Saccharomyces cerevisiae S288C: one gene and its partners. The main gene of each other region encodes a partner of the protein of the gene in region 3 in a complex. Each region holds a gene or a part of one and is shown on either strand. Other genes may lie near its edges. The genes, in order: SNF5, SWP82, SNF2 and SNF11.

The links.
Region 1: SNF2 (region 3) and SNF5 share a complex: the UniProt entries of both Saccharomyces cerevisiae proteins name them as parts of the SWI/SNF global transcription activator complex.
Region 2: SNF2 (region 3) and SWP82 share a complex: the UniProt entries of both Saccharomyces cerevisiae proteins name them as parts of the SWI/SNF global transcription activator complex.
Region 4: SNF2 (region 3) and SNF11 share a complex: the UniProt entries of both Saccharomyces cerevisiae proteins name them as parts of the SWI/SNF global transcription activator complex.

The regions. Positions count from the first base shown.
Region 1 is NC_001134.8:776,492-784,903, forward strand, and holds SNF5 (Snf5p), read left to right. Parts: upstream 1-3,175; coding exon 3,176-5,893; downstream 5,894-8,412. Other genes in the region: YBR287W (uncharacterized protein), read left to right, coding at 80-1,363; APM3 (Apm3p), read right to left, coding at 1,521-2,972; BSD2 (Bsd2p), read left to right, coding at 6,100-7,065; CTP1 (Ctp1p), read right to left, coding at 7,182-8,081; YBR292C (uncharacterized protein), read right to left, coding at 8,211-8,412. UniProt on the Saccharomyces cerevisiae protein: Involved in transcriptional activation. Component of the SWI/SNF complex, an ATP-dependent chromatin-remodeling complex, which is required for the positive and negative regulation of gene expression of a large number of genes.
Region 2 is NC_001138.5:33,374-40,719, reverse strand, and holds SWP82 (Swp82p), read right to left. Parts: upstream 3,918-7,346; coding exon 2,046-3,917; downstream 1-2,045. Other genes in the region: GTPase-activating protein RGD2, read right to left, coding at 1-299; EMP47 (Emp47p), read left to right, coding at 540-1,877; putative Mg(2+) transporter ALR2, read left to right, coding at 4,872-7,346. UniProt on the Saccharomyces cerevisiae protein: Involved in transcriptional activation. Component of the SWI/SNF complex, an ATP-dependent chromatin remodeling complex, which is required for the positive and negative regulation of gene expression of a large number of genes.
Region 3 is NC_001147.6:853,587-864,184, forward strand, and holds SNF2 (SWI/SNF catalytic subunit SNF2), read right to left. Parts: upstream 6,673-10,598; coding exon 1,561-6,672; downstream 1-1,560. Other genes in the region: YOR289W (uncharacterized protein), read left to right, coding at 1-526; YPK9 (putative acid anhydride hydrolase), read left to right, coding at 7,589-10,598. UniProt on the Saccharomyces cerevisiae protein: Involved in transcriptional activation. Catalytic component of the SWI/SNF complex, an ATP-dependent chromatin-remodeling complex, which is required for the positive and negative regulation of gene expression of a large number of genes.
Region 4 is NC_001136.10:587,732-593,636, reverse strand, and holds SNF11 (Snf11p), read right to left. Parts: upstream 1,199-5,905; coding exon 689-1,198; downstream 1-688. Other genes in the region: IPT1 (inositolphosphotransferase), read left to right, coding at 2,293-3,876; PAA1 (polyamine acetyltransferase), read left to right, coding at 4,235-4,810; FMP16 (Fmp16p), read left to right, coding at 5,258-5,539. UniProt on the Saccharomyces cerevisiae protein: Involved in transcriptional activation. Component of the SWI/SNF complex, an ATP-dependent chromatin remodeling complex, which is required for the positive and negative regulation of gene expression of a large number of genes.

The DNA of each region.
Region 1 (8,412 bases), on a different chromosome or scaffold from region 3:
ACAATATGTGTGAAGCCCGTTTTTGGTTTGTTATTCCCAACTAACCATACCCTCATAGATTACTCTGCATTTCTACTATATGGTTGAAACATTTAGTTTTGCTCATTTGGCTTATTTGGTCTTTGAGTCCGTTTTACAGGTAGTCATTATCGCACTCGCTGGTTTTTGGAGCGCTAGTTCTGGTCTGCTGCCCAAACAAAGTCAAAAAATCATTTCTCTGTTGAACGTGGACCTTTTTACACCATGTCTTATTTTTAGTAAGTTGGCCAAATCCCTGTCCATGGCCAAAATCTTTGAAATAGCCATCATTCCTATTTTTTTTGGTTTGACTACTGGTATTTCATTTATTTCCGGAAAGATAATGAGCCGTATCCTAGACTTGGATAAAGATGAAACTAATTTTGTGGTGGCAAACTCTGTCTTTGGTAACAGTAACTCTCTACCTGTGTCCTTGACATTATCTTTGGCTTACACTCTGCCCAACTTAACTTGGGACCAAATTCCTAATGATAACAGAGATAACGTTGCATCAAGGGGTATTTTATACTTGCTGATCTTTCAACAAATCGGACAAATGCTGAGGTGGAGCTGGGGTTACAATAAGCTAATGAAGTGGTCTGGAGAGAACACTCAGCATATGCCACCTTCTCAAGTGCAATCTTTGTTGGAAAGGACGCCCAACATTGATAACGAGGAACTTGTCAATGAGGAACAAGAGGAACAAGAATTGCTTGAAGAAGAAAATAACAGAATGAACTCATCTTTTTTGAGTTCGAGTTCCATCGGTGATAAGATTTGGCAAAAATCATGCACTGTATTTGAGAGAATCAGAGCGAACCTTAATCCTCCGTTATATTCCATGATTTTTGCTGTTGTTGTGGCAGCAATTGGTCCGTTGCAGAGAGAGCTATTTATGGAAGATGGGTTTATCAATAACACATTTGCCGAGGCTGTTACGCAGCTGGGTTCAGTTTCTATCCCACTGATCCTGGTTGTCCTCGGTTCTAACTTATATCCTTCTGCGGAAGTCTTCCCTAAGACGGTTCACCATAGCAAGTTATTGATCGGCTCCATCATCGGAAGAATGATTTTACCTTCTTGCTTCCTTTTGCCTATTATTGCTATTGCTGTTAAGTACATAAACGTGAGTATTTTGGACGATCCAATTTTCCTTGTTGTCGGTTTTCTTTTGACTGTTTCCCCTCCTGCCATTCAATTAACTCAAATCACTCAACTGAATGAATTTTTCGAGGCAGAAATGGCCGATATTCTATTTTGGGGGTACGCTGTCTTAAGTTTGCCTGTAAGTATTATTGTTGTCTCAGGTGCAATTTACGTTTTACAGTGGGCTAACCCAACTTAATACAACTTTTCATTCCTTTGTATAGAGTCTTCATGAATGAAAGTCTTATTCATTTTTTTTTTTTTTTAGCATAGTTTTATATTCCTTTTTTATTCCAAGACTTATATTCTCATTATATTCTATTTAGTTTCGCATGGAATTTCAAGTACACATATAACTACAGCCTTACTTGAAAATTGCCTGTCTGGGTCTTATACTTTGCACCCTTGTACAGCTTTGTATTTTTGCCAATTGTTAATCCAGATACAATATCGATGGCTTCTACATAGATTCCACTGGCCGATTGTCCTATGTAAGAATATTCTAAGGAGACTGTTTGTAAATCAACTTTTTTTGTAAAATTTGGCCCAGTATTTTCATACTCAATACAGCCACGTAGTACAGGTACCGTTCCAGTGGCAGTTGATTTATCAAAAATCCATTGTCCTTGACCCATGATAATGCTATTTTCAAAACGGCCATGAGTATTGCGCAATATTTTTATCTTATATGCTATTTCATTTGGATCAGCATTCTCAACATTGAACTGTAAATCTATTTTTAGGTCATCAACTTGTGAAACTTTTTTGAAATTTTCAATATTTAAGGATAACTCAAATTCATCAGAATCTTTACCCAATCCATTTTGGAAGTGTAAAGACATCAAGCCAATAGAATTCATCCTTACTCCGGATTGCTTTACTTGAGAACTTAAATCGACGGAATACTCCAGCAATCTGAACTTCCCATCTGGTGGTATAAACGTTATATTAGAGGGAGAAAACACACCATCATTGATTTCAACACAGTCATGCAAACTGGGTATACCTATATCATTTCCCATAGTGTTTAATTTTACTGCAACTAGAGGATTATCATTCAAATAAGATCTCACGTCCACTATTCCATGGATACTTCCAGTGAGCAACCTTAGATGTGATTTTTTCTTTTCAAATACAACATGGAATGTTTCTAACAAATCCACATAAAGCTCATTATTCTCATGTTTGCTAGCCCTTGAAGTTCTCCAGGGAACAATCTCTTCATTTTCGATTAGTGAATTACTACCACGAGAAATCTGATTTTGTTGTAGCTGCTGTTGCCTTTGTTGTGGGAGTTGCACAGCCTGCTGTAAATTATGGGCTGTAGAACTTATGAACTTCGATAAATCCGATCTTTCAGGAACAGCTTCTTTAATTTTATTAACATAGAGCATATCACTCACATTTGGTTCACCCGCTTCGACGCAACAGTTAAAAATCAAACTGATTCTATCATAATTATTAACAATTTTCTTGATACTTAATTTATCCTTGTCAAAATATTCTAACAGGATACGATCTATAGTCTCTAAAAAGGTAAAACAATCAAGCGGGCCTTTTGACTTCGAAGTGGAGGCTAAGCACCAATAATTGAGCTTATTTATAACTGAGAAATACTTATAGACCTCTAAATCTCTTCCAACCATTGAATGGTCTAAATAATCATCACTACTGCTATCTTCGAGCAATTGAGGACATGTGGACTGAACGCGGGTCCACAGGTGCTTGAAGGAGGGAGCTGTTGCACCTAAAAGATACTGGAAAATAAGTTTGTTCTTTGTATCAGTGATATAGAATGACAAATACATCTATTTTGGTTGGGTTGGTAAGGTTTACAGCCTCTGTTGTTGCCCAAGTCCTGTTATCGCCAACTTTAAATAAATCTCTTCTTGTTCTTTGACCAAAAATTTCATTTTTCGTCGCATTTAAAAGAAACTGAAATTTCAAACATAAACACCAAAACAAAGCATCATCAAGGGAACATATAGTAAAGAACTACACAAAAGCAACAATGAATAATCAGCCGCAGGGTACCAACAGCGTTCCAAATAGTATTGGAAATATATTTAGCAACATTGGAACTCCATCTTTTAACATGGCGCAAATTCCGCAACAGCTGTATCAGAGCCTCACACCACAACAATTGCAGATGATTCAGCAACGACACCAACAGTTACTGAGGAGTCGTCTACAACAACAACAACAACAACAACAACAAACTTCACCGCCACCGCAAACGCATCAATCTCCACCCCCTCCTCCGCAACAATCTCAACCCATTGCTAATCAATCAGCGACTTCTACCCCTCCTCCTCCTCCAGCACCACACAACTTACATCCCCAAATTGGTCAAGTGCCCTTAGCTCCAGCGCCTATTAATTTGCCTCCACAAATTGCTCAGTTACCTTTGGCTACACAGCAACAAGTTTTGAACAAGTTGAGGCAGCAGGCCATAGCAAAAAATAATCCACAGGTTGTGAATGCAATTACTGTTGCACAACAACAAGTGCAACGCCAAATTGAGCAGCAAAAGGGACAGCAAACGGCACAAACTCAGCTAGAACAGCAGAGGCAATTGCTGGTTCAGCAGCAACAGCAGCAGCAACTTAGAAACCAAATACAGCGACAACAGCAACAACAGTTTAGGCATCATGTGCAAATACAACAGCAGCAACAAAAGCAACAACAACAGCAGCAGCAGCATCAGCAACAACAACAACAACAACAGCAACAGCAGCAACAGCAACAGCAACAGCAGCAGCAACAACAACAGCAACAACAACAACAACAGCAGCAGCAGCAGCAGCAGCAGCAAGGACAAATACCGCAATCTCAGCAAGTTCCTCAAGTTAGATCCATGAGTGGACAACCTCCCACCAATGTTCAGCCAACTATTGGCCAACTTCCTCAACTTCCAAAATTAAACTTACCCAAGTACCAAACTATTCAATACGATCCACCAGAAACCAAGCTACCATATCCAACCTATTGGTCAGACAAAAAAGCAGATACGGATACTTTGTTGTACGAACAAATTATCCAGCGTGATAAAATTAACAAATATTCGCTAATAAGAGAAACCAATGGTTACGATCCGTTTAGCATTTATGGATTTAGTAATAAAGAGTATATTAGTAGACTGTGGCATACACTGAAGTATTATCAAGATTTGAAGAACACTAGAATGAAATCTATCACAAGCACTTCTCAGAAGATTCCTTCGGCAAGTATTTGGGGAAATGGTTACTCAGGGTATGGTAATGGGATTACGAATACAACTACCAGAGTTATTCCACAAGTAGAAGTTGGAAATAGGAAGCATTACCTAGAGGATAAATTAAAAGTCTATAAACAGGCCATGAATGAGACATCGGAACAGTTAGTTCCCATAAGATTGGAGTTCGATCAAGATCGTGACAGATTCTTCCTCAGGGACACTTTGTTATGGAACAAAAATGACAAGCTTATTAAAATTGAAGACTTTGTGGACGACATGTTGCGAGATTACCGATTTGAGGACGCTACGAGAGAGCAACACATTGATACTATTTGTCAATCTATACAAGAGCAGATTCAGGAGTTTCAAGGAAATCCATATATAGAGTTGAATCAGGACCGTCTAGGCGGTGATGACTTGAGAATTAGAATCAAGCTGGATATTGTCGTGGGACAAAACCAGTTAATCGATCAATTTGAGTGGGACATCTCTAATAGTGATAACTGTCCAGAAGAGTTTGCAGAGTCCATGTGTCAAGAATTAGAACTACCAGGTGAGTTTGTGACTGCCATTGCTCACTCCATAAGAGAGCAAGTTCATATGTATCATAAATCACTGGCACTGTTAGGTTACAATTTTGATGGATCAGCGATAGAAGATGATGACATTAGAAGCAGAATGCTCCCAACGATTACTCTTGATGATGTTTATAGGCCTGCAGCGGAAAGCAAAATTTTTACTCCAAACCTATTACAGATTTCAGCTGCAGAGTTAGAGAGATTGGATAAAGATAAGGACAGAGACACAAGAAGGAAAAGAAGACAAGGTAGATCTAATAGACGTGGTATGCTCGCATTGTCCGGCACATCTGCAAGTAATACATCTATGAACGGCGTTCACAACACAGTAGCAGCAGGAAATGCTTCATCGTTGCCACCAGGAGAGATTTTACTGCCAGATATTGCAGATATTCCAAGAACTTTCAGGACTCCAGTACCTAGCACTTTAATGCCTGGTGGTGTTGACGTAGGCCCTTCTGTGGAATCGTACGAATTGAGAAACACAACCACTTATAAAAGCAGGCCAGATAGACCTAAGCCAGTTTCACCTCCTTGTTATATTATTGACCATATTCCGGGTCATTCGCTACTACTTTCTATTAAACTGCCTGGGAAAGTTAATACAAAAGAAGAGTTCGCAGCAGCGCCCAATGACACAAGTAGTGGCACCAATGCAATGCTTCCGAGTCCAGAATCGCTGAAAACTAAGCTGAATAGTAACATTCGCGCTGGTGTGACGATACCTTCAATCCCAAACCCGATTGCCAATCACACTGTTACTAATTCACCCAATCCCACACTGCAGCCAGTAATCCCAGGTGGGGCAGCTAGTAAATCGGTACCTACACCTAGTCTTCCTATAGCACCTCCAGTAGCACCACATGATAGCGAAGCGACATTGTTGACTAATAGCAATAATGGTAGCAGTAACAATAACACACAGAATACATAGAAAATATATACACATATATAAAATATACCGGAGATGTAAATAACCGTGGAAGAATTTGTATTATCATCGTGTTATACGATGCGGAGTCCCTTTGCGCCTACTTTTTTTAGAAGAATAGTACATAACCTTTATAAAAATCTTCCAATTTAGATACATAAAAAGAGCATGAGAATAACAAGAACACGTAGTCTAGGAAACTAAGCGCTATGCCAGAGCAAGAACTACTTATAGGGCAAGAAATGAATACACTTCATGCAGGTTCATCTACTGATGGCATAAATGTCGGAAACGCAGGACGAACTAGAGACACACAAACTGGCGTAGAAGGGGAAACGGAAATAGGGTCTGACGAGGAAGATAGCATAGAGGACGAGGGAAGCAGCAGTGGAGGAAATAGTACGACAGAAAGACTAGTACCACACCAGCTGAGGGAACAAGCAGCCAGACATATAGGAAAAATAGGAAGACATTTTAATATTCTTGATAGACTTTTTAAGAAACGTACACAACAGTCTTCGGATATACAACAAGGTGCCATGTTTGATGGTGTCTTTAGCAATTTAAGCGCAAAACCAGATACCACAGAGACTGAAGGTAATAACGAACAAGACATACCACCTACATACGACGAAGCTGCTGCTGATATGGCCCCCTCGTATTATGGAATGGATTTGAACAATTCAGATATCTACTACGACGAAATATGCATTGAGGGGCTTCCTGTAGGAAATATAGCAAATTTATTATGGAATATCATCGTAAGCACGAGTTTTCAGTTCATTGGATTTTTAATAACCTACATTTTACACACATCTCACGCAGCAAAGCAAGGTTCAAGGTTTGGATTAGGGTTAACGTTCATTGGATATGGTTATTCAATGATTCCCAATGATGTTACTTCAAAAGTCGGCAAAAATAAAAGCTTAAATAGAATGGAATTAGAGGATCCAAATGAATTCGATGATGTTCGTCTAAATTCACAATCAACGACACAAGATAAATTTGAATCACATTTGAATCACGGTCTGGATGAAGAAAAACAAAACATACCATGGTTGGCTGTTTTTGTGGCATTTCTTGGGCTATTTATCACCCTGAAGAGTATATACGACTACATTCAAGTCAAAAAATTGGAAAAGAAATACCTCAACCAAAGTCAAAATCAAGCATAAGCCATCTTCTTCATTATGATAAAAAGAGATATATAACTTTTTTAAGTGATCGGCTGGTAAATAGACTTATAACGAGTAGAAAACATTAGATGATATATTGTACACAATAATACATTTCAGGCTAGCATAACTAAGACCTTTTCATAGATAGTGAAAACAATACCACCACTCAAGACCAATCTCCCAAGTCTAGGCGTAGCACCTTTCCAAAACGTCTTTAACCCTTCTTCTTTGAAAATGGTTGCAAAACAATTCATTGTAGAGGAGTATTTGGTGGAATCCAAACTTTGCATTCTTGTTTTCACAGTATCAAGGGGCATGGTGGAATAGACCGTCACAATACCACTAAATGCACCCACTAAGAAGGTTAACCCGGATGATAAAGGTTTGTCTTTTGGCGAATCCGTATAATCTTGGATCAAGGTCTTAATCTTATTGTAACAACCCAATCTAACGGCTTGGTTTGCGGCCTGTCTCATGGAAACTGGCAAAACACCACGATAAAGACCAGAAAATCCTTTATCACGGACTAATGATGAATAGTTTCGTACTACACCGCGCCCATTATTATGGTATTTTGGTGTAGCAGATTGTTTATCATCGATCAAAGCAGTTTTGATTGCTTCAAAAGGAGTCACTGCGGCAACACTTTCTAATAGTCCCGCACCTAACCCAGCTATCACCCCTCTTGTACCACTTAGTTCTCCAGTTTCACTATCTCTTAGCATGTCTTTAATGGTATCAAAGCCAAGAAATCTAATACCCGCCTTAGCGGTGTTTCCAATAATAAATGCGGGACATCCGACATAAATGGAACCAATGCCCTGAGTTTTTGCAGTTTTATATATCAATACCAGAGGATTTCTTGATGCCTTGGAGGCCTTATCAATCAGCTGCAGCCTTGTTTTGGCAAACTCAAAAGGATATGTTATACATGCTTCAGCAGCACCGGCTAGGGACCCTGCCAGAAACGAGTGCAATGGATCTACGTCACTTTTGGTAGCTTTACTGGACATCGGTAAAATGCTAATTTATAATTCAAGCTCTACTTTGGAGTTCTTTCATTGTGACATCAAAATGTTTTTAATTTTACGTTGGCTTCGACATTTTACGTTTTATATATCACGCTAAAGTGAGACTAAATTTCATTGTTCTTCTTTTTTTTTTTTTTCACTTCTAATAATTGAAAATTCCGCAGGAATTCTTCCATATTCTTGACTCTTCAGTAAGACTAACTTAATGGAAATAGAGAAAATAGTACATATTTGAAAAAAAAAAAAGAGGTGTTGAAATGATTTGAGAATATTAAATAGCTTACAAGCGTTAGCCGAGTTCCCAGACAGCAGA
Region 2 (7,346 bases), on a different chromosome or scaffold from region 3:
ATGTTCGACGCTATTGTCAAGTGATGCGTCCCTTCCTGAGACATTTCCTGTAGAATTCCCCTCAGGGCCCTCGAAACTGTCACCCCTTCATCTTCATCTTCCTGCACTGCCTTCAGATTGTCCATACCGGCTTCTATACCAAACAACTGCCTCCCGTGACTGACTTCAAATTGCATTCTTGACGCAAATAATTGAATGAACAAGTCGCATTGCTCACAACCATGGTATAATCTATCAAAAAGCACATCTAGACCTGAGACAAGGTCTTCAGACCAAAAATAGTCGCAAAATGATAGCATGCTCGCTTGCAGGTGTACAACATCTATTACAATTCAACGGAATATTATTCCTGTTTCATAATATTTCAATTTCCATCTATTATTGTCATTACGTCTTGGTATCACTATACACGAGTAGAGAAACAGTATGAACTCTTAAGAATGTTTTTGATCTTTTAATAGAAGCCTTAATTGGTATTGAATAATTATAATTATACCAATAAAATTAACAAATAGTTAGCATCAGGGAATTTGTATTTTATGATGATGTTAATTACTATGAAAAGTACAGTACTGTTGAGTGTTTTTACCGTCTTAGCGACATGGGCTGGATTGCTAGAAGCTCATCCATTGGGTGACACTTCAGATGCATCCAAATTAAGCTCAGACTACTCGCTCCCTGATCTCATTAATGCACGTAAAGTGCCCAATAACTGGCAAACTGGAGAACAAGCTAGTCTAGAGGAAGGGAGAATTGTATTGACTTCTAAGCAAAATTCCAAGGGTTCACTTTGGTTGAAGCAAGGATTCGATTTGAAGGATTCTTTTACTATGGAGTGGACATTTAGGAGTGTTGGTTATTCTGGCCAAACCGACGGTGGCATATCATTTTGGTTTGTTCAAGATTCTAACGTACCACGCGATAAGCAGTTATACAATGGGCCAGTGAACTATGATGGTTTACAATTATTAGTGGATAACAATGGTCCATTGGGCCCAACACTTCGTGGTCAACTAAATGATGGTCAAAAGCCTGTAGATAAGACGAAAATCTATGATCAGAGTTTTGCATCTTGTTTGATGGGTTATCAGGATTCCTCCGTTCCTTCCACGATCAGAGTAACTTATGATTTGGAAGACGACAACTTATTAAAAGTTCAGGTGGACAATAAAGTCTGTTTCCAAACTAGGAAGGTTCGCTTTCCCTCTGGGTCTTACCGTATTGGTGTCACCGCTCAAAATGGAGCAGTGAATAATAATGCAGAGTCTTTTGAAATATTCAAAATGCAATTTTTTAATGGCGTGATTGAAGATTCTTTGATCCCTAATGTGAATGCAATGGGTCAGCCAAAACTGATCACCAAATACATTGACCAACAAACCGGCAAAGAAAAATTGATTGAAAAAACAGCATTTGACGCTGACAAAGACAAAATTACAAACTATGAATTGTATAAGAAACTGGATAGAGTTGAAGGTAAAATTCTTGCGAACGATATCAATGCTTTAGAAACAAAGCTAAATGATGTCATTAAGGTCCAACAAGAGCTATTATCATTCATGACTACGATAACTAAACAGCTCTCTTCTAAGCCACCAGCTAATAATGAAAAGGGAACGTCCACCGATGATGCAATCGCTGAGGATAAAGAAAATTTCAAAGACTTCTTATCAATCAATCAGAAATTGGAGAAAGTCCTGGTTGAACAAGAAAAGTATAGGGAAGCTACCAAACGTCATGGACAAGATGGTCCTCAGGTCGACGAAATTGCCAGAAAACTAATGATTTGGTTACTTCCATTAATTTTCATTATGTTGGTTATGGCATATTACACATTCAGAATCAGACAAGAGATCATAAAGACCAAACTGCTATGATTTTGGATTATTCCTTCCACTCAAACCAATTGTGCACATGCATTCCCTATATATGTATATATATGTAACAATACATATTTTATAAAATAACGAACGATAGTTTATATTACTACTTCAACAATGGTTTATTTCTTATTGGAGTGTTCCCTACATTATGTTTTACTTCTTTCAATTATTCATAGCTACTTCGTTGCTGAAGTTAGCCAGGTTGTCCGGTTTAGCGGCGACCGGATCCGTCGCCACCACTGGATTAGCATTTGTGTTCTTTACTTCAGTGTCCAGCTTAACAGCCGTTTTATCCCCAGCGACATTTTGTGGTACTTTGTTCACATGAGAATAAATGTATGGAGGTTTAAAATCCTTAATGTTACAATTTCCTAGGAAGTTTGGGTTCGGTACCCTCTTTGTTGTTATTGTTTCATCCGTATTCGTTATTTCGTTAAAATTTGTAGTAACACTCGTTTGCGCCAACACATCTTTCAAATATTTATTTTTGAATTCATCCAATTGAGACCGTTTCAAACCGATAGGAATACCTGCCTTGTACTGCCAGTACTTTTTCCATTTTTTTGTCCTAACTTTTCTAACGTTCTGCAAACCGGTATTAACAAAAACGGCATCGTGTAAATGCTCTAGTTCTTTAATTTCGTTCGGTGTCAGCTGTTTCAACCTTTCTAGCAGCGTGTTTTTTTCATATAACGGCAATCCTCTATAATATTGCTGTTTACCTGAATTCTCGGCGGATTTTAATGGCAAAGATTCAAATTTCCAGCCGTTTATGTTTAACGATGTATTATTTTTGTGTTGGCCCTTGTTCATGGGTTTTATCATTTCGTTCTCCTCAGACTTCTTGTTTTTTGATGAGGAAACGTTAATATCAAGAATGCTACTTAGCATTCGTTTGATTGGTTTATTGCTAGGATTGACAGATGGAATATGGTTAGGAAGTGAAATTGAAGCGGAACCATCAGGAGCTTGACTTTCATATTGCGCAAGTAATTCTTCATGTCTTCCGATTGGTATGTCCATTGCCTTCATTTGCAGAGCTTGTTGAAATGAGTTTTTGCTGTGATAACGCGGTACTCTAAATTGTGCACTGAGTTCCAATGTTCCACTAATGCTTTGACCAGGAACAATTGCCGAAATGTGCTCACCTTTGGCAAAGTTTTCAATATAGGCTTCTCTAATCTCCGCTGACGGTTGTTCCGTGACTATTGGATACTGTGATTCGAATTTTGAAGTAGAAATCGTACAGGTATTATTAGTGTTCGCACTAATTTCATTGGCATTGCTAATCCTGTTATTTTGGAAGGAGGGGCGTAAAAGTGAGATTTTAGAAATTAAATTTGTTGATAATTTGAAAACCCTTTGGTGAGACGACAAATTTTGCTTTTTAGCTAAAGATTCCCAATAATCATCAACGATGCGTTGACCACCGGCAATAACAGAAGCACCGAATTCAACAAAGGCTGACCTGGCAGTTATATACTTAAAAGATCCTTTGGATTCTTCAGGAATGACACCATTTTTGGCCAAAAATTTTGTTTGTTCCTCAGAAGTTTCCATTACCAGAATTTGATCATGCTGGACAATAAACTCGTCCTCGTCATGCGTTGCGTTGCTTTGGTATAACACTTTAATGACATCTTGTAAAAGTACCAGAAGAACACCCATATGAGCCGTGAATGTGAAGGTGTTGAACAAATAATGTCTACCGCCAAATAATTCACCGTTCGAACCCACTTTTTTCTCACCATAAGCATCCAATTGTATCATCTTGTAGGATGTATTAGTAGCGTCTCTCGTCTTAAGTTCATCTATATATTTCGGTAATTCTAATTTTTTGTAGGGAAATTTGTCTAAGGGAGGTTGAACCAATTCATCTTGATCCAGGATTTGCAGAATTTGCTTAAGTATCACTCTTTCATGTTCTCTGATAAGTATTTTGGGTACTATAAATACAGCTCCAACCTCTCCTTGTTTTACAGAAGGATTATTTCCCTTTTCAAGAACGGTATTCCCTTCATCTTCGCCAAGCATATTCGTCTCTCTTTAAAACGCCCTTTGTTTTGGTTCTTCTTCCTACTTTTTTTATTTATAGTATTATACATTCCATGTTTTTCTTGTTTTTACATTGAGAAAAGTCCAGAAAGGGAAAAGTGATGGTTCGAAAAAAAAATATAGACGGCTGAAACTACAACTATATTTAATGCACAGGGCCACTTTCTGAACGGCTAATCTTTCCATGTCAGGATATATTTCCGTTGTACTTGACGAGGTCATAATACTCTGAAAATTTTTTTAGATACGACAAATATATCAGCTGCTAAACTCCTTTATGGATGTGTTGAAGGGAACACTTATCGCTTATTCTTCCTACGTGCTAGATTCCGTAACTGAGCTGTACTTCCCACATCGTAGTTGCCTAAATGTGAGAAACAAGAAGTGCCCTTCGTGCTTAGACCGTGGATATCATATATGTGAAGGTTGACAGTTCTTCCAAGTTTCAACAAACTATGCAAGACCTCCATTAATTTATACGCACATTCATTTGACAGAGGCCCTGTATACAAGAAGTACAGACAAAACTAACCGTTGTCCATATCCTACTATCAAACTATTCTTTCAGGTACGTTTTTACTGCCTGACCGGCTATAAGTTACAAAAGCGACTCCTTGAGATAAAAATTTTCTTCGAAAAATGCAGCATTTGGTTTGGCTGTTCACGAAAGTGGCTGCTTCCAGAGAAATCAGGTTTTCCTCGAGCATATGATATTTTAACGTAGAGGTTTATATTATAAAAGTGGAAAGGTAAAATCAACAGCGTTTATTTCCTCTATTCAATGTTCAGCAAGGACGGTAGAGACTACTATTGCTAAACAATTACTTACATGGAAATGTACTGTCAGTTGGATAAAAAAATCGACAGGAATATATTTTAATCACCTTTATAGAAGTACTGAATTTTTATGAGAAAACGTGAAAAAACTTCGTAATGTCGTCCTTATCCACTTCATTTGATTCATCGTCAGATTTACCAAGGTCAAAATCCGTTGACAATACGGCGGCTTCCATGAAGACAGGCAAGTACCCAAAATTAGAGAACTATAGGCAGTATTCTGATGCACAACCAATACGTCACGAAGCGCTTGCATTGAAAGTGGACGAAACGAAAGATTCTAGACACAAATTTAGTTCCTCTAACGGGGAGAATAGTGGAGTGGAAAATGGAGGCTATGTGGAGAAAACGAATATATCCACAAGTGGCCGCATGGATTTTGAAGGTGAAGCAGAAGCAGAAGCAGTGAAACGTTACCAGTTAAGATCTTTCGCGCTTTTAAGTTCTAATGCGAGGCCATCCAGGCTAGCAAAGTCTGAAACTCACCAAAAGCAGATTCATGTAGAGAGCATCGCTCCCTCTTTGCCAAAGAATGCGGCTTTAGAGAGAGGCCATGATACGGCGTTACCTGCCGGTACGTCAAGTAACAGATGCAACTTAGAAGCCTCCTCCTCGGCAAGAACTTTTACAAGCGCTCGTAAGGCTTCGCTAGTTAGCGCAATCTTTGAAACATCGGCTGAATCAGAGCATGGTACGCATCCCAAACAGGCGAAACTTAAGAGAAGAACCTATTCTACAATATCGACACATTCATCAGTCAATCCTACAACGTTGTTGACAAGAACTGCATCGCAAAAGTCCGATATGGGAAATGACACACGAAGAATTAAACCGTTACGTATGGATAGCAGGGTATCTTTCCATAGTGAGATATCGCAAGCATCCAGGGATTCTCAAGAAACAGAAGAAGACGTTTGTTTTCCAATGTTTCGACTATTACATACAAGAGTTAATGGTGTTGATTTTGATGAGTTGGAAGAATATGCCCAGATTTCAAATGCTGAAAGAAATCTGTCTTTGGCGAACCATCAAAGGCACAGTGAACGAACATACAATCATACCGACCAAGATACTGGATTTACTAACTCTGCTTCCACTTCAGGATCCTCAGCAGCTCTGAAATATACACCTGAAATTTCACGGACTCTTGAAAAAAATTGCAGCGTTAATGAGATGTACGTATCTGAAAACAATGAATCTGTGAGGGAAGATGATAAACCTGATCTACACCCTGACGTAACATTTGGTAGAAATAAGATTGAAGGTGAAAAAGAAGGAAATGATTCGAGTTATAGCCGGGCGTATTATACCCTCCAAAATACAGAATATCAAATTCCTAGTAGATTTTCGTTCTTCCGCTCTGAATCTGATGAAACTGTGCATGCTAGTGATATCCCTTCTTTGATATCCGAGGGACAGACGTTTTATGAGTTATTCAAGGGAGGCGATCCAACGTGGTGGTTGGATTGCAGTTGTCCAACTGATGATGAAATGCGTTGCATAGCAAAAACATTTGGAATCCATCCTTTGACCGCGGAAGATATCAGGATGCAAGAAACGCGTGAAAAGGTAGAGCTTTTCAAATCCTATTACTTTGTCTGTTTCCATACATTTGAAAATGATAAAGAATCGGAGAATTATCTTGAACCTATAAATGTTTACATCGTTGTTTTTAGGTCAGGTGTCTTGACTTTTCATTTTGACCCAATATCACACTGTGCCAATGTAAGAAGACGTGTAAGACAATTACGTGACTATGTCAGTGTCAATTCAGATTGGTTATGTTATGCTTTAATCGATGATATCACAGATAGTTTTGCTCCGGTTATTCAATCCATCGAGTATGAAGCTGATTCGATTGATGATTCAGTGTTTATGACCCGTGATATGGATTTTGCAGCCATGTTACAAAGGATTGGTGAAAGTAGGCGTAAGACAATGACGCTGATGAGACTCTTGAGCGGTAAAGCAGATGTTATCAAAATGTTCGCCAAAAGATGTCAAGATGAAACTAATGGTATTGGGCCAGTGCTTAAATCTCAAACTAACATGGTGAACTTACAAGCGGAACAAGAGAATGTGAACCAGAATAATAGTAATAACCAAATAAGCTTATCAAATAGCTATATGCAAACAACATCACAACCAAGGGGAGATATTGCTTTATACTTAGGTGATATTCAGGATCATTTGTTGACGATGTTTCAAAATTTATTGGCGTACGAAAAGATTTTTTCTAGATCACATGCAAACTACCTGGCCCAATTACAAGTGGAATCATTTAACTCTAATAATAAAGTTACAGAAATGTTGGGTAAAGTTACTATGTTAGGTACAATGTTAGTTCCATTAAATGTTATTACTGGTCTGTTCGGTATGAATGTAAAAGTTCCAGGAAGAAATGGAAGTATTGCGTGGTGGTATGGAATTTTGGGGGTACTGCTTTTACTAGCTGTCATAAGCTGGTTTTTAGCTAGCTATTGGATCAAAAAAATAGACCCACCTGCAACGCTCAACGAAGCCGCAGGTAGTGGGGCCAAATCAGTCATATCTAGTTTTTTACCGAAAAGA
Region 3 (10,598 bases):
CAATAAACATCACACAATAGACACTAACGAAGAGAATTATATACTTAGAGGATGTATCGGTACATTTGCTAAGATGCCGATTGCACATGGTATTGAGAAATATTCCTTGATTGCTGCTTTAGAGGATAGGAGATTTTCTCCGATCCAGAAAAGGGAATTGGTGGACCTGAAATGCAGTTGCAACATCTTAGGCAACTTCAAAACTATTTTTCGAGGTGGTGGTAATCCAAATGGGGACATTTTCGATTGGGAACTCGGAAAGCACGGTATTGAACTGTATTTTAAGCATCCCAAAACAGGCACCACATGTAGCGCAACCTTTTTACCTGATGTTATGCCTGAGCAACATTGGAATAAAGAAGATACCTTTGCCAATTTAATCGAGAAGGCGGGTTACTGGGGCAATATTAGTGAAGTAATGGATAATTTTGAAACTTATTTCATTGAAGTAATAAGGTACGAGGGCAAAAAAAGTTCCATAACTTATGAGGAATTTAACAAACAGTTAAAAGATATAGAGGCTTAGAAAATAACCCTCGTTAGTTAGTCTTAGAAACATTAAAAAAAATATGCTTTTATACATTGATCAAGCTTAAAAATTGGACGCAACCGGAATCGAACCGATGACCTCTTCCTTGCAAGGGAAGCGCGCTACCAACTGCGCCATGTGCCCTGATGACTGTTGAAACTGTTGTATCTCAAAATGAGATATGTCAGTATGACAATACGTCATCCTGAACGTTCATAAAACACATATGAAACAACCTTATAACAAAGCGAACAACATGAGACAAAACCCGTCCTTCCTTAGCTGAACTACCCAAAAGTATAAATGCCTGAACAATTAGTTTAGATCCGAGATTCCGCGCTTCCACCACTTAGTATGATTCATATTTTATATAATATATAAGATAAGTAACATTCCGTGAATTAATCTGATAAACTGTTTTGACAACTGGTTACTTCCCTAAGACTGTTATATTAGGATTGTCAAGACACTCCGGTATTACTCGAGCCCGTAATACAACAGAAACTCATTTCTAATGAGTGGTAAATACATTTGTGGGAAATATCTTTAAGGCCATCTCGGACCTGTATATAATCTCCGAGTATTTCCATTAAAGATGAATCAAATACATGAAATATCTATTAAAGACATATACTCAAGGAAAAGAAGTAGTAGATATATCTTCTTTATATATATTGCCCTGTGTTGCTAGCAGGGTGTTGGAACAAATAATTTGTTCCGTATTGGAAAATTTATAATTAGGTCCAAGAACAAGTTCACTATGATGACGACATATTACTTTGTTCAAAGAGATGGTTTAAAATAAATATGTATAGCAGAATTATAAGAGGCGAAATCGATCAATTAGTTGAACAATTAACTTAAAATCTAATATATATAAATATATATATATATATATATAGGAAATATACGGCACGTTATACTAGAGATATTAAACATCCCAACTCGGTTAATGGGTACAATAAAAAAAAGAGGGATTAATGTTTGTCTACGTATAAACGAATAAGTACTTATATTGCTTTAGGAAGGTACTATACACTCGCTTCTGTCATGCTCGAGTCCGCTTCATCTGTGAAAGATTCAGCCACGCTTGAAGTAACAACAGGAGGCAAGACGAGGGGTCTGGTGCCATACTGTTCATCAAATTCAGTAAAGTCGAGTTGTGAGTTATCGCCCATTATCTCACAGTATTTCTTCGTAACCACTTTTTCCAGTTCTAAAGAGTCTTCGTATACTACTGAACCCTCAGTATTGTATATCCTAGCATTGGAAAATATCAGATGAAAGTCTTGAAGGGTCTCTTTAAGGGAGTTGTAAGCTAGCGTTTCAATATGCGTGTTAATATTATCAAAGGCGACAGGGTACTTAATAATCATATAGTAGTCGGGATATAGTGCTTTGGAAGGTTTGGAGAGGAAAATGTCAGAAAGTTTCCTTCCAGCTTCATTTTCATAATTGAGAGCAAAGTGGTATAAGTCTAGAGCTTGTTTAGCAACTTTCTCTCTAATATCAATAGGACTCGTTGCCGCAGCGGGCGTGCGGACATAATCAAGCCCATTTCTTGCTTTTGGCGGCCTTCCTCGTCCACGTCCTCGCCCTCGACCACGACCACGACCGCGACCACGGCCCCTTGTTGAAGTTCTTGCTGATTTAACAGATGTTTTTCCCGCTGTACGTGGTTTTGGAATGTCCATAAAATCCTCACTGGGAGAGTTATCGCCAGTAACTGGACTTGATTCAAGCGCTGGTGGTTCAGAATTTTCAGATCCTTCAAGTTTCACTTTCTTAGGTCTTCCACGGGGCCTTCCTGCCTTTCTCTTTTTAGACAAGAAATCATCGTCATTCATTGCCAAATCCGTATCTGCCCGATCTTCGGCCGATATATTATTAATTCTAGGACCGTCATTATCAGCGTCAATGTTTTCGCCTTTAATTTCTCCATTCCCATCAATCGCCTCGCTCTTATCTTCCTTCTTTGTTCGTTGTTTTCTTGCCTGCTTGTCATTTTTTTCATCATCGCTAACTTCAAATTGTCTTAACCACTGTTCTTCAGACATATTATCGTTGTAAGTTGCCGTCTTACGTTCTCTTGCACCCCTTCCATTGTAAACAGCAGCAGATTCTGATTCTTCACGTTTGAGCTCGGCACCAATATCTCTACTGTAAATATCAGGTAATTCACTCTTTTCTAAGAGACGGCTCTTTACTCCCAATTCTTCCTCCTTCTTTGATCTATCTTCATCCATCCTTGTAAGAACAGCCATTTCTTCGTCATTTCGAGCAAGAATTTCGTTGATTTCTGAGTCTTTTAACTCCTCTTCTTCTTCAACACCAGACTCTCTTTTCTTTCTACGTTCCTCTTCTGCATCCAGCAAAGATCTAAGCAACGCTTCTTGTTCCTCCGATGTAGATTTGTTATCGAATTTACCTGCTTGAATGACTTTACCATCGATATCTAGCTTCTTGTAGGCTCTCTCTAGGATAACTTCTTCAACTGAATTCGTAGTAATCAATCTTAGAATTCTAACTTCATTCTTCTGACCTATTCTATGCGCTCTATCCTGAGCTTGCAAATCTTGATGAGGATTCCAGTCAGTATCAAAAATAATGACAGTGTCTGCAGTTTGTAAATTTAAACCCAAACCACCCGCTCTAGTTGATAAGATAAAGCACAAGTATTCAGAATCAGGGGCGTTAAATAGACGTAACAACTCACTACGTTCATCAGATTTTGTATGACCATCTAACCTCAGGTACTTGATATTAATGTACCTTAAAAAATCTTCCATAATATCCATAATTTGGGTCATTTGAAAAAAAATTAATACTCTATGCCCAGTTGCCTTAAGCTTAGGCAAAATTCTATCTAATAGTTCAAATTTACCAGCAACACGCCAAATATCATCATTCGTTTCTCTTGTTGGATTGATTTGGTCCTCAACTTCTTCAAATACAAAAGGATGATTACAGATTTTCTTTAGTTGCATGATTTGATTATTGAAACCTCTTAAACCTACCATTTTCTTATTATTTTGATCACCGATAAAAAGACGACGATATTTCAACATTTGTTGGTACATAATTTGTTGTAAAGCGCTCATTTTGCACTTCACTACCTTCTCAACTTTATCCGGTAATTCTTTTTCTACATCCTTTTTCAAACGACGCAATAAAAAGGGTCTCAAGACTTTATGCAATCTCCTGATAACCAAAAGCGTCTCTTCTTCACTCAACTCAATTTTATCTTGCCCACCGGTGTTGGCAAAGGGTGTATTGAACCATTCATCAAAAGATTTCACGGAATTGAAAATCTTGGGTAACACAAAATTCAATAAGGCCCATAATTCTGGCAAGTTGTTTTGAAGTGGTGTACCTGTCAAAATTAATCTATAATCTGCATGGTAATGTGTGTTCAAGGTTAAAGAAAGCTTGGATTGCGCATTTTTCATTCTATGGCCTTCATCAATAATCATATGGACCCACTTGACCTTGGATAAAAGTGCTCTTTCTTTAATAATATACTCAAAGGTAGTCAGAACTACATCAAATTCACCTGCCCTTATTTTAGCCTGTTTGGCTTTCCTCTCATTTGGCGAACCTTTAAATGATATAGTTCTTAAGGTAGGAGCCCATTTCGCGAATTCACTGCTCCAATTTGACAGTGTAGATAAAGGAACAATGACTAAATATGGCCCACGAATATTCTTCATTTCATATAAATATGTAAGTAAGGATATCGTCTGGATAGTCTTACCAAGACCCATTTCGTCTGCTAAAATACCATTTAAATGATTATTGAAAAGCGAAACCATCCACTGTAAACCCTTGATTTGATAGTCCTTTAAGGTACCACCAACCAATATTGAAGGCTGCTTCTTGATATCTTCTTTAATTCTATGTGCGACATTGTAATAATCGACGTTAGAATTGTCGTCGTCGTCATCATATTCTTCATCCTTCATCTTGGGGACCATGGACAAATCATCCACTTCCTCCGATGCTTCCTTTATGTGGGAATCAATCATTTCTTTAGTGTACTTTTGTTGATCTTTCACGGCTCTTGTTAAAGAATCTAAAAATGCGTTTGTTTGCCTTAGAAGATGTGTAATTCTTGTATCTTTGGTTTGGTCTAATAATTTTATATAGGCTTCCTCATCGTTCGCCTTTAAAGCCTGTAAACGTTCTTTTGCCTTTTTTTCAGCTCTCTTTTGCTCATCCCTTTCTAAATTAGTATGCGTAGCAATGAGTCTATGGCCAAACTTCAACCTTTTATTCTTTTTATCTTGTCTTCTATTATATTGATTGATGGCGGATTTATTCATCGACTTTAATCTGGCCACTGCCTCAGTCTTCTTCCTTTCTAACTTAAGTAATTCATGATTCTTATAAAGTTGGTTTGTTAGCAATGCATCTTGAACGTTGATGTTTCTTATTTTCGAAAGAAAATTTGGATGTGTATTGGTTAATAAAGAATTTTGATGCCATTCAAATTGTAATACATGACCTCTTACGGCTTTTTGTAACGGTAATAATTGTAAGGCGTAGTAATCGTAAAGAGCATTTTCCCTGGTTGATTCCGTACATTCGTCATTTAGTAGCTTATCCAAACAGTCATTTACCGTAGTATCTAGGTTCAATGCAATTAAAGTTTGGTAAATGTCAGTAGCGGTATGTGTGTCAATACCAACCGGTAGAACGCCAGGTTCAATAGTAAACTTTGCATGATCCGAATTGGCCAATAAAGTCTGATAATCGATATTACTATGTGAGATATTGGGCATCGTAAAAGAATCAACCATCATATCAGGATCATCTATATCTACCACTTTTATTCCTTCCTTATATTGATCTTGAAGGACGTTTAAAGGAACGGGTTTCTGCGGTTTTGGCGGGTTATTTTGCTCGGTGTGGGTCTTATTACTATTAGGAGCTGTTTTAGCTACGTTTGAAATGGTTTCGTTTTCCTCTTTTTTCGATTCTGTTTGCGTGATTGGAGTGCCACTTACAGTTTGCGAATTTTTATCGAGGGTGCCATTCTTCGCATTATGTACACTAGATGGACCAGCTGGTGAAACAGATGCAAAATTTTCGTCTTTGCTATCTAAAGGTGCATTTCTGGTAAGCCCAGAAACGTTGTCAGTGTTAGTGTTATTGTAGTGGGAATTGGTGCCGGGTTGCTGCGTATTGTTGCCGCCATTGAGATTTGATTGGTTATTTTGATCTGTGGGTTGTCTTCTTCTCGCAAACTCACTCAAAGACAGTAACATTCTTTTGAAATCTGGAGGATGGTTAATAGATTTTTGGATAACAGCCTGAAATTCAAACGGAATAGGCTTTCTATTTACTAGACATTTTAGAGATGTGATTTGGGCCTTTAACAGTTCGGATTGCTCGGCAGTAAACATTGTCATGGGTAATCTTCTCCCCTGTTGCAGTCTCGCTTGTGCTTGTTGTGCCTGTTGTGCCTGTTGCGCTTGTTGCGCCTGTTGTGCTTGGAATTGTGCCTGCTGCATCTGCGCCTGCTGGGGCATAGGAGAATTTATCTGCGAACCTGGCATCACATTTGAATCCTGTATGTTGTGTTCTTGTAATGATCGATTTTGCGGTTGAAGCTCGGAATTATTAAGGTTTAAGTTATTATGGTTTGAGTTATCTGGTTTCTCCGCAGCATTTTCTCCATTGTTTGCTGGTGTTGGTGAAAAATTAGTTGCATTTAATGAACCAACCGAAGATTGCCGTTGTGGTAGCATGTTATTACCACCATTGCTATTTAATGGCATCTGTGTTTGCATGATTGGTGATTGATGAGCAGAAGTGCTAAAGGTCTCATTTCCATTCAATTGCATATTCGGAGCTAAATGCGGGGAAGCAGAAGCAGAAATGTGCGAGGAAGCATTATTCGGCAGTTCTGCTTGATCTGAAGAATTTGGAACAATATTTTGCTGAGAACCTGAAATGCCTTGCTGTTGGCGTTGCATTTGTAATTCTTGTCGCTGCTTGGCAGCAAATTGCAACACTTTAGTCAAATAGATAAATTCCGGCACACTCGGAGCGTTCATTCCGTGTTCATTTCTCAAATGCTGCCATCTTAAATAGCAGCGGTTGACCTCTTCGTTGCTAAATTGACGCTGTGGTATGTTCATGGCAGATAATTAATCGAAAGTCGTGAAAATAGCAGAAAGTCGCGATTAGAGAAACAACAGAATAGCTGACCTTCCCGATGATTTATATACAAAAGGTCCACGTACGTCACAAATATCTTCTTTATTGAGACTAGAGGTAACCTTTCTTTTAACTTATTGTCCTACCGCCTCAGGATGGCCCCGTTTCGTCAATCAATTTGTTGATATTTGTCTTTCAAACGCGGTTTTAACATATCGCGAACAACGGTATTCGGGTAACAGCCTATCACTATTTTTACCGGCGGCTATTTTTCCTAAACCTAGTATATATACGCGAAAATTGGCTACCTGCAAAATTCCAATAGTGGCGAATGTATTGGAATTAATCTGCAAGGAAAATAAGCGTTAGGAACTTCAACTGTATTTTGCTCACTAATTCTTCTTCATCATGTCTTCTTCTTTTTTTTTCAATTACTTGTTAGTTCTTAGTGTCCTTATGTTCACTCAGAATAGCCATTAAGAATCGTGTCTTTTTGGAAGTGAAGGAGTTTCAATAAAAAGAAAAAAGCGAATATTTCAACACTGTGTTCTAAGAAAAGGCTCTATAGCTTTTTTTATTAGTTTTATTAATTTGAAAAATGCCTTGTTTGTTTTATATATATATATGTGTGTATTTAGGGCAGCCGCGGCCAACAGGGGGTATGGGTATGAAGAGGTGATAGAAGAGTGAAAAATGAAAAAAAATGGAAATCAAGGAAAGAGTAGTGAAAAAAAGAAAAAAAGGAAAAAAGGGCAAAAAGAGAACGCAATACCATAGAGTTGGAGGTGTTGGACTTGTGAATTTATTTTTGATTGAAAATAGTTCAGAGTCAATAGATTCTTCTTTAAAATAAAAAGGAGCCCAGACTTACTGATAGATCTTGCATATACTCCGGTAATGGATATTCCCTCTTCAAACCAAATTCAACATGGCCAAAGGAGTGAAAGGAACCGAAGAATGCCGAGGGCTTCTTTTTCTTCTACAGCCACTACTTCTACGGCGGCCACATTGACTTCCGCGATGGTACTGGATCAGAACAATTCGGAACCGTACGCAGGTGCAACATTCGAAGCCGTGCCAAGTTCTATTGTATCATTCCATCACCCTCATTCTTTTCAATCAAGCAACCTCCCAAGTCCGCATTCTTCAGGGAACCTAGAGCAGAGAGGCCGCCGATTGACTGAATCAGAGCCTTTAGTATTATCCTCGGCTGAACAGTCTCGAAGCTCTTCTAGAAACCCTTCTCATTTTCGATTTTTCACTCAGGAGCAAATATCCAATGCTGAAGGCGCTTCCACGTTAGAAAATACAGATTATGACATGGCCTGGGATGCCACCCCCGCTTATGAACAAGATAGAATCTATGGTACGGGCCTATCTTCCAGGCGTTCTTCTATTCGAAGTTTTTCCAGAGCATCATCTCTCTCAAATGCAAAGTCTTATGGATCTTTCAGTAAGAGGGGTCGCTCTGGTTCAAGGGCACCACAAAGGCTGGGAGAAAATTCTGACACTGGGTTCGTTTATCATTCCGCTACACATTCATCATCCAGTTTATCGAGATATACGACCAGAGAAAGAATTCCTATTGAACTAGAAAGTCAAACAGATGAAATACTAGAAGACGAGTCTTCTACACATTCTTTAGAATCTTCAGATAGTAGGCGATCTGCAAGCGAAAATAATAGAGGAAGCTTTTCTGGTCATGATGATGTTCATAATCAGCATAGCGAATATCTAAAACCTGACTATCATGAAAAGTTTTATCCACAGTATGCACCAAACTTGCATTACCAAAGGTTTTACATTGCGGAAGAGGATTTAGTTATTGGTATCGCTGCTTACCAGACCTCAAAATTCTGGTATATTATTTACAACCTGTGCTGCTTCTTGACTTTCGGATTAGTTTATCTTTTAACGAGATGGCTTCCCCATCTCAAAGTTAAATTATATGGCGTGAAAGTGCCATTGGCTAAAGCAGAATGGGTCGTGATAGAAAATGAGTTTGGTGAGTTTGTCATACAACCTATCGATCGACAGTGGTATAATAGACCATTAAGTACTGTTTTACCTTTTGAAAATTACCCTAATCCGTCATATGAACCAAATGATATCAATTTGAGCCACCACCATGCCAATGAAATTAATCCAAATGTGCCTATCTTGATCACATTTGAATACAGATATATTAAGTTCATATATTCACCGCTCGATGATCTCTTTAAAACTAACAATAACTGGATAGATCCTGACTGGGTGGATTTAAGTACCGTATCAAATGGTTTAACTAAGGGGGTTCAAGAAGATAGAGAACTTGCGTTTGGTAAAAATCAAATTAATTTGAGAATGAAAACTACTTCAGAAATTTTATTCAATGAAGTGTTGCATCCGTTTTATGTCTTTCAAGTATTTTCGATAATTTTGTGGGGCATTGATGAATACTACTACTACGCCGCATGCATTTTTTTGATTTCTGTACTGTCTATTTTTGATTCATTGAATGAACAGAAGAAAGTATCGAGAAACTTAGCTGAAATGTCGCACTTTCATTGTGACGTTCGTGTTTTGAGGGATAAGTTTTGGACAACGATAAGCTCATCAGAACTAGTTCCGGGCGATATATATGAAGTATCTGACCCAAATATAACAATATTGCCTTGTGACTCTATTCTTCTGTCCAGTGATTGTATAGTCAATGAATCCATGCTAACTGGTGAATCTGTGCCCGTTTCGAAATTTCCAGCTACGGAAGAAACAATGTACCAATTATGTGACGACTTCCAGAGCACCCAAATATCGAGTTTTGTTTCCAAATCCTTCTTGTATAATGGTACAAATATAATTAGAGCAAGAATTGCCCCCGGGCAAACCGCCGCTTTGGCGATGGTTGTAAGGACAGGATTCTCAACAACAAAGGGCTCCTTGGTTCGTTCCATGGTTTTCCCAAAACCAACTGGTTTTAAATTCTATAGAGATTCCTTTAAATATATTGGATTCATGTCATTAATCGCAATTTTCGGTTTTTGCGTCAGTTGCGTTCAGTTCATTAAACTTGGTTTAGACAAAAAGACAATGATATTAAGAGCTTTAGATATCATAACAATTGTAGTGCCACCAGCTCTGCCCGCGACTTTAACCATTGGTACCAATTTTGCTTTGAGTAGGTTAAAGGAGAAGGGAATATTTTGTATCTCTCCAACAAGGCTTAACATTAGTGGTAAAATCGATGTTATGTGTTTTGATAAAACTGGAACACTTACCGAAGATGGCTTAGATGTACTTGGAGTACAAATATCGGAGCCAAATGGGGTTAGAGGCCAGAAGTTTGGAGAACTATTGAGTGATATTCGCCAAGTATTTCCTAAATTTTCTTTGAACGATTGTAGTTCGCCATTAGATTTTAAGTCCAGGAACTTTTTCATGTCATTATTAACATGTCACTCGCTGAGATCAGTTGATGGAAATTTACTCGGTGACCCACTAGACTTTAAAATGTTTCAATTTACCGGTTGGTCATTCGAGGAGGACTTCCAAAAACGAGCATTCCATTCATTATACGAGGGAAGACATGAAGATGATGTTTTCCCAGAAAATTCAGAAATCATTCCTGCGGTAGTTCACCCTGATAGTAATAATAGAGAAAATACGTTTACTGATAATGATCCTCATAATTTTCTAGGGGTGGTGAGAAGCTTTGAATTTTTATCTGAGCTGAGACGTATGAGCGTAATTGTTAAAACGAATAATGACGACGTATATTGGTCGTTTACTAAAGGTGCGCCCGAAGTTATTTCAGAAATATGTAATAAATCAACTTTACCTGCAGATTTTGAAGAAGTACTACGTTGTTACACTCATAACGGATATAGGGTTATTGCATGTGCTGGGAAGACACTTCCAAAAAGAACTT
Region 4 (5,905 bases), on a different chromosome or scaffold from region 3:
GAATCGAGATTGTCTCTCCTTGATCGTCATAGTAGGAGCGTAACTAACCCCTATAATCAGACCCTCGGCCGCTCCGTCTCACTGCCGATTTCCCTGTATGGCACCAAATTTTTTCTTTTACAAGTTCCTTACGTAGAGAACGAGAAGAGAATAGAAAGGAAGGGGTTGACCGTTGGAAGGAGGGGGTCCAGCGAGGCTAGACTAGGTTAGGCTAGGCCAGAAGAGAAGGAGGGGAGGGAAAAGTCAGAGAGTCAAAAGGAGAAGGGGCTACGCTCCAAATGGCGTAGAGTAAACTAGTAGATATTGAGATTAGGCTTCCGTTACCGACGTGCATGATGAAGATGACAATGCTTACTGCGACGATGACGAAGGTGGCTCTCGAAGAAGATAATAAGAAAGTAGTATTAATAGGGCTGGCAGTAAGATAACTACATCTGATGTCATAGATTTTAAAATACTAATATTATTATTTACGTTGGGTACATTACATACGATAAATTCATGCAGTTGTAGTACTTGAGTGATTGTTATTTGCCTTTCTTTTTCTGCTTTTCGTATTCTATTTTTCTTATGCTTCCTGTACTTGCTCTGCGGGTATGCAATCACACCTGTAGCTGAATGCAAAATTAAAATTGCAAAAGTAAAAAAAAAAAAACAAAATAAAAAAGGGAAGAGAAACAAAGTTATTCTACCATATCTCGAACACTCTTGCCAAGAGAAGATAGAGTTTAGAAAGAATATCCTGTGGAGGTTGCTGCTGGTTGGCTAGCTGAGGAGGCGTGAGGATCAGTGGTTTCGCTGAGGGCACTCCTTGGTTTATCTGAGATATGCATTGAAGATTGGCATGAACCCTTTTAAGGAACTGAGATATAAGTTGCTGTATCCTGATGATGTTATTGTTATTGCTATTATTTATATTGTTCTGTAGATTGTTTTGTAAACTATTATTCATCTGAATAACTCTAGCAAGTAATATGCTGTTGATATGCAATAGCAGTTGTACCTTATACTGTCTTTGCTCATCGACCGTGGGGAGGTTCAGCTCTGCAGTTGCATTTGCAGTTGCATTTGCAGTTGCATTTGCAGTTGCATTTGCATTTGCATTTGCATTTGTATTTACATCTACGCCAGCGCCAGTATTGCGGTTCTCGTTTTCAGTGTTGGTGTTCGTATTCGAGTAGGCAATTTCACTGCTCATTTTTCTGGGAAAAAAGGAAATCTGTGTGTTTTGCTTATATGCACATTGAATTTACACTCCCGATCGTGATGCGCTCTGAGCCCTGAATAGAGGGTATCATAAACGGCAATCTTACTACGACCCCACGTAATATGCTTTTATGGGAAGTCTGTTCTCCACTCCGTATATACTGTTAGGAGAAAAAAGGAAAAAAAATTTGCCCGAAAGTCGATTGTTACCCGGCAAAACAATCATCAAAAAAAAACAGGTAGAAGAAGGCTTGCTATAATTTGAACACTCTCTACCCTCCTGGCTGCTTTATCTACTTCTGTTGGCTTGAGAAACGTCATATCTATATATAGCGTAGATATGTTTATTCGCGTTTGCACTGGCCTTGAAGAAACGTGAAAAGAGGGTGGTTTCACCGCACAGCGGGGTTATCCTTGGTTACTCGTAAATGCCAATAATCCATCTTGAATAATTCCTATTCGAGACGCATGGGGAAATGCAAGGCAAGCTAACACGTAGTAGAATACCCTGCTGCACAGCGCCGTTGGGGTCTCAAGTGCAATTGCCGTTTTGCGCGGCGATAAACGGCTAAAGATTACTTCAGTTGGCCACGGCAGCTGCGCCCTTCCCGAGTGGATTACGCTCACGTGCTTTCCGCGGAACAAAAATGTGAACGCCACGGGAAAAAAGCATTATCCCCGCGCCGCTTCTTGACGCCTCTGATTGTGCTGATTGATTCCGCTTTTTTTTTTTACCGGCTTTTTTCTCCGCCTTCTTCGCCTCAATCGAGAGTTCTGGTGTAAATTCTCTTACGAAGTGCAAAGTTAGTAGGAAAGTAAAAAAAATAAGAAAAAGGAAAAATGCCTAGAAATGCAGACCTCCGGCCACAACATTTTTATATAATACATTCGAGCATCAAAAACCAGGAACAATAGAAGAGTAATCGCTACTTGTCAAATAAAAATAAAAAAAGGAAACCTAAGGCATAGTGTTTTCATAAGCATCGCTACTTTTTCATTGCCACCCTAACTGTTCCTTTATTTCACCGGTTGGACGTTATCATTTCTGCTAAGAATCACCTAAAGTCTTTCAACGTCTAAGAAAGCATGAATGTCATATTTTCTTTGGCGAGTTTCGTCAAAAACATGTATAATGCAAGTTTGAACCAACGTAATCTAATAAGCCTGCCGTTCAACTTCATGCTTAATTTTGCGCCAGTGTTTATTTGGCTGTCTATATTCAAGCGCGCTGGTCTGATACCCATAAGGCTCAGACCTGACATTCATAGCAAGTTTGCTTTTTTTGCTGATCAATTCCTCTTTGGGGACTATTGGCATGAACTTACTGTACAATTGCCCGATAATACTTCGAAGCTATTTTTCTGGTCATTCATATCATCTTCTGCATTTCTCTTAGTATTTCTGATATGTATTCCCTTTGCCATTTGGTACTACATCTATTACATTAAGCACGTTAACTATAATCTGTTAGAGTGGTTCGCAAATATTTTTCATTACCCCTGCAAGCGCAAGCAGCGGCCGATCCAAAAGAGATTTCGGACAATTTTCATACCGTTTGCCTTGCCCCTGTTTACATTTGTTATACTCAACATTGATCATTTCTTTGCTTACCAGTCGGATGCAAACTTTACTAAGACCAAGGATTTACTGGCTTGGTTCTCCTATGTCATCCTGCACTTGACAGCTCCAATTTTAACAGCTGTATACTTATACGTCTTCCAACCACCGGGGACTTTAAAATGCTTTAGTTTTGCCCTAGGATTACAAAATATAGCGGGGGTCCTTACCCATCTGCTTGTTCCAATGGCCTCCCCATGGTTTACTCATCTGTACGGTATTGATGACACCGAACATGTTAATTACACCCAGGAAGGGTTTGCTGCCGGTTTGATAAGAGTAGATAGCCATTTGGGTACTCATTTGAACACTAAAGGATTTCACATGTCTCCTATTGTGTTTGGTGCTGTTCCTTCACTACACTCCGCCATTGCATTTCAATGTTTCTTGTTTTTGGTTTCAAGGTCCACCAGCTTAAAACACAGATTTTCCAATGCTGGAGGTTTCACAATGCACAATAATGATTCTTCCACTTTCAAGTTGAGTGAGGAAGACAGCGAAGATGAAGGTGACAATAGCATACCGCCCACGATTGGCCCTAACGACTTAGAGATGGAACCATTGGGTACCGTTGAGCCTGTAGATATTTCAAATGAGCGGTCCTCCTCCCCTTCATCTTCATTCACCGTATCCAGTAATGAAAGAAGCACCGGCGGCGGCGACGGCAGCATTATTAACAGCAATGGCAATAAGAAACCTCTCCAGTTTGTCCATTTATATGATGAAGACACGAACTTCACAAACAAATGGATTTTTAAAATAGTCAACGATGGGTTTATACCAAAATTCTGGGCTATCCTATATATAATACTACAATGGTGGGCTACCATGTATCTGGACCACCATTATAGATTTGACCTTTTCGTTGGTGTTTTATATGCAATGACAAGTTTCATCATCATAAACTGGTTTGTTTTACAACCAAAAGTTTTAAAAAAGTGGATTCATATAAGGTTAGGCGACAAAGTGGATACAAGAAACGAAGCTCGCACTTTTGGCATGAGAGTATTTTGTGGCACCAAGATGGAATGGTTTTTTGATCCGCTTGCATAGACTATAGAATGTCATAATGTAATAAAAGTAATTTCGGATAATTTAAATAATATAGATTGGCTTTTTTTTTAATAATATATTATTAGTGTTATGCATGCTTTTTTTTTTTATTTTAATAAAGGGTTAACCTGAAATCGGCTTGCTTTTGGTTTTCTGTCAATTCATAAAAAGAATAGTTTTGAACGGGCAAAAATGGAAAAGCAATGGAAGAACGACGAACATCCCACTGGACAAGAAGCGGGAGCAAGTGTTTGTAAGAAAAATTTACAACAAACTAGATTAAGAAGAATTGGACATCAGAATACTTTTCTCGGAGAAAAAATAACACCAATACATTACGATTAAATAAAAAGTTAAAATGGCCTCCTCAAGTAGCACGCTACCGCTTCATATGTATATTAGACCCTTAATCATTGAAGATTTAAAGCAGATTTTGAACTTGGAAAGCCAAGGTTTCCCACCAAACGAAAGAGCTTCAGAAGAAATTATCAGCTTTCGTTTGATCAATTGTCCAGAGCTATGTTCAGGTCTTTTCATCAGAGAGATCGAGGGCAAAGAAGTTAAAAAGGAGACACTAATTGGTCATATTATGGGTACTAAGATACCTCATGAATACATTACTATCGAAAGCATGGGCAAATTACAAGTGGAATCGAGTAATCATATTGGTATTCACTCTGTAGTAATCAAGCCAGAATACCAGAAAAAAAACCTGGCTACTTTACTTTTAACTGACTACATTCAGAAATTGAGTAATCAGGAAATTGGTAACAAAATTGTCCTTATTGCTCACGAGCCATTGATACCATTTTATGAAAGAGTTGGTTTCAAGATCATTGCTGAGAACACCAATGTTGCTAAGGACAAAAACTTCGCAGAACAGAAATGGATCGATATGGAGAGAGAACTAATTAAGGAAGAATACGACAACTAGATCATTAGTTTAACGCACTTTACAAATGTCTAATTATAAATACTACATATAATTTTTGTATATTTTAAAATTGCCAAGTATAATTAAAATCATTACTACTGGTGCTACCCTACATCCTTGACCGTACTGAGATATCACTGCTTAATTCCGGTGATTGGGTTCTTTTCAGTTCTTGGAGAGATATACGTACTACCTTCCTTTTTTTTTAAGGATACCTTTACTGTAAAGGGTTTGTTCCTGTATCAACCCCTTCTTCCTGTACAGAATCTAAGGGAACCGTAAAAGCACATAAGTATATAAAGGTCCCAAGATTTGATTAGGTAGATATGGCCTTTGAGTTGGCTCTTAGTTTTTTTTGGCCTTGAATACTTGTTCCTACAATACTCCAACAGCAGTTGAAGCCAGACCGCAGTATCACATATATAATACACAGGAATATATTTGATAATGTTGAGAACCACTTTTTTGCGCACTCCAAGACAATTGATGCGTAAATCGCCAAGGGCGTCTTTCTCAATCGTCACTAGGGCCGCCTTTCCTCACCTAAAGAACAATCAAGATGAAGCTGAGAAAAAAGAACAGGGTTTGTTTGATAGCAACAAGAAGAGGTTGGACACTTTGGAACACGGCAAGAATCCAGATTATAAGCAACCTGGAATGGAAGATTTGAAAAAAAAGGGAGATGACGCTAGAATCGAACAAAACAGGCCAGATGACGGTGTTTATTAAGAAGCACTTGGTACAAACTCGTATATGCATGTAGTTTCTGTCATACACATATCTATATTCCTTCCCCCCTGGTCCTATCGTATTTAGTCATATCATATCATTTATTGATATCTATATAAGTGCAAAACTATAACCATTATTTATTTGCTTTCCACATTGTTTTACTTCATTTGCTTCAATATCGTTCATTACGTTTAGCGAATGGCTAAGGCCCTTGTATTAGTAAAAGCCTAGAAAAAAAAAAAAAAAAAAAAAAAAGGATATGATGTTATATGATACGTGTAGTTCATGTATTTATCTTCGGTAGTATAGGGCAGATTTAAGACTGAGTGTGCACGCTTCCAAAGTTTTTTTTACTATTTGATA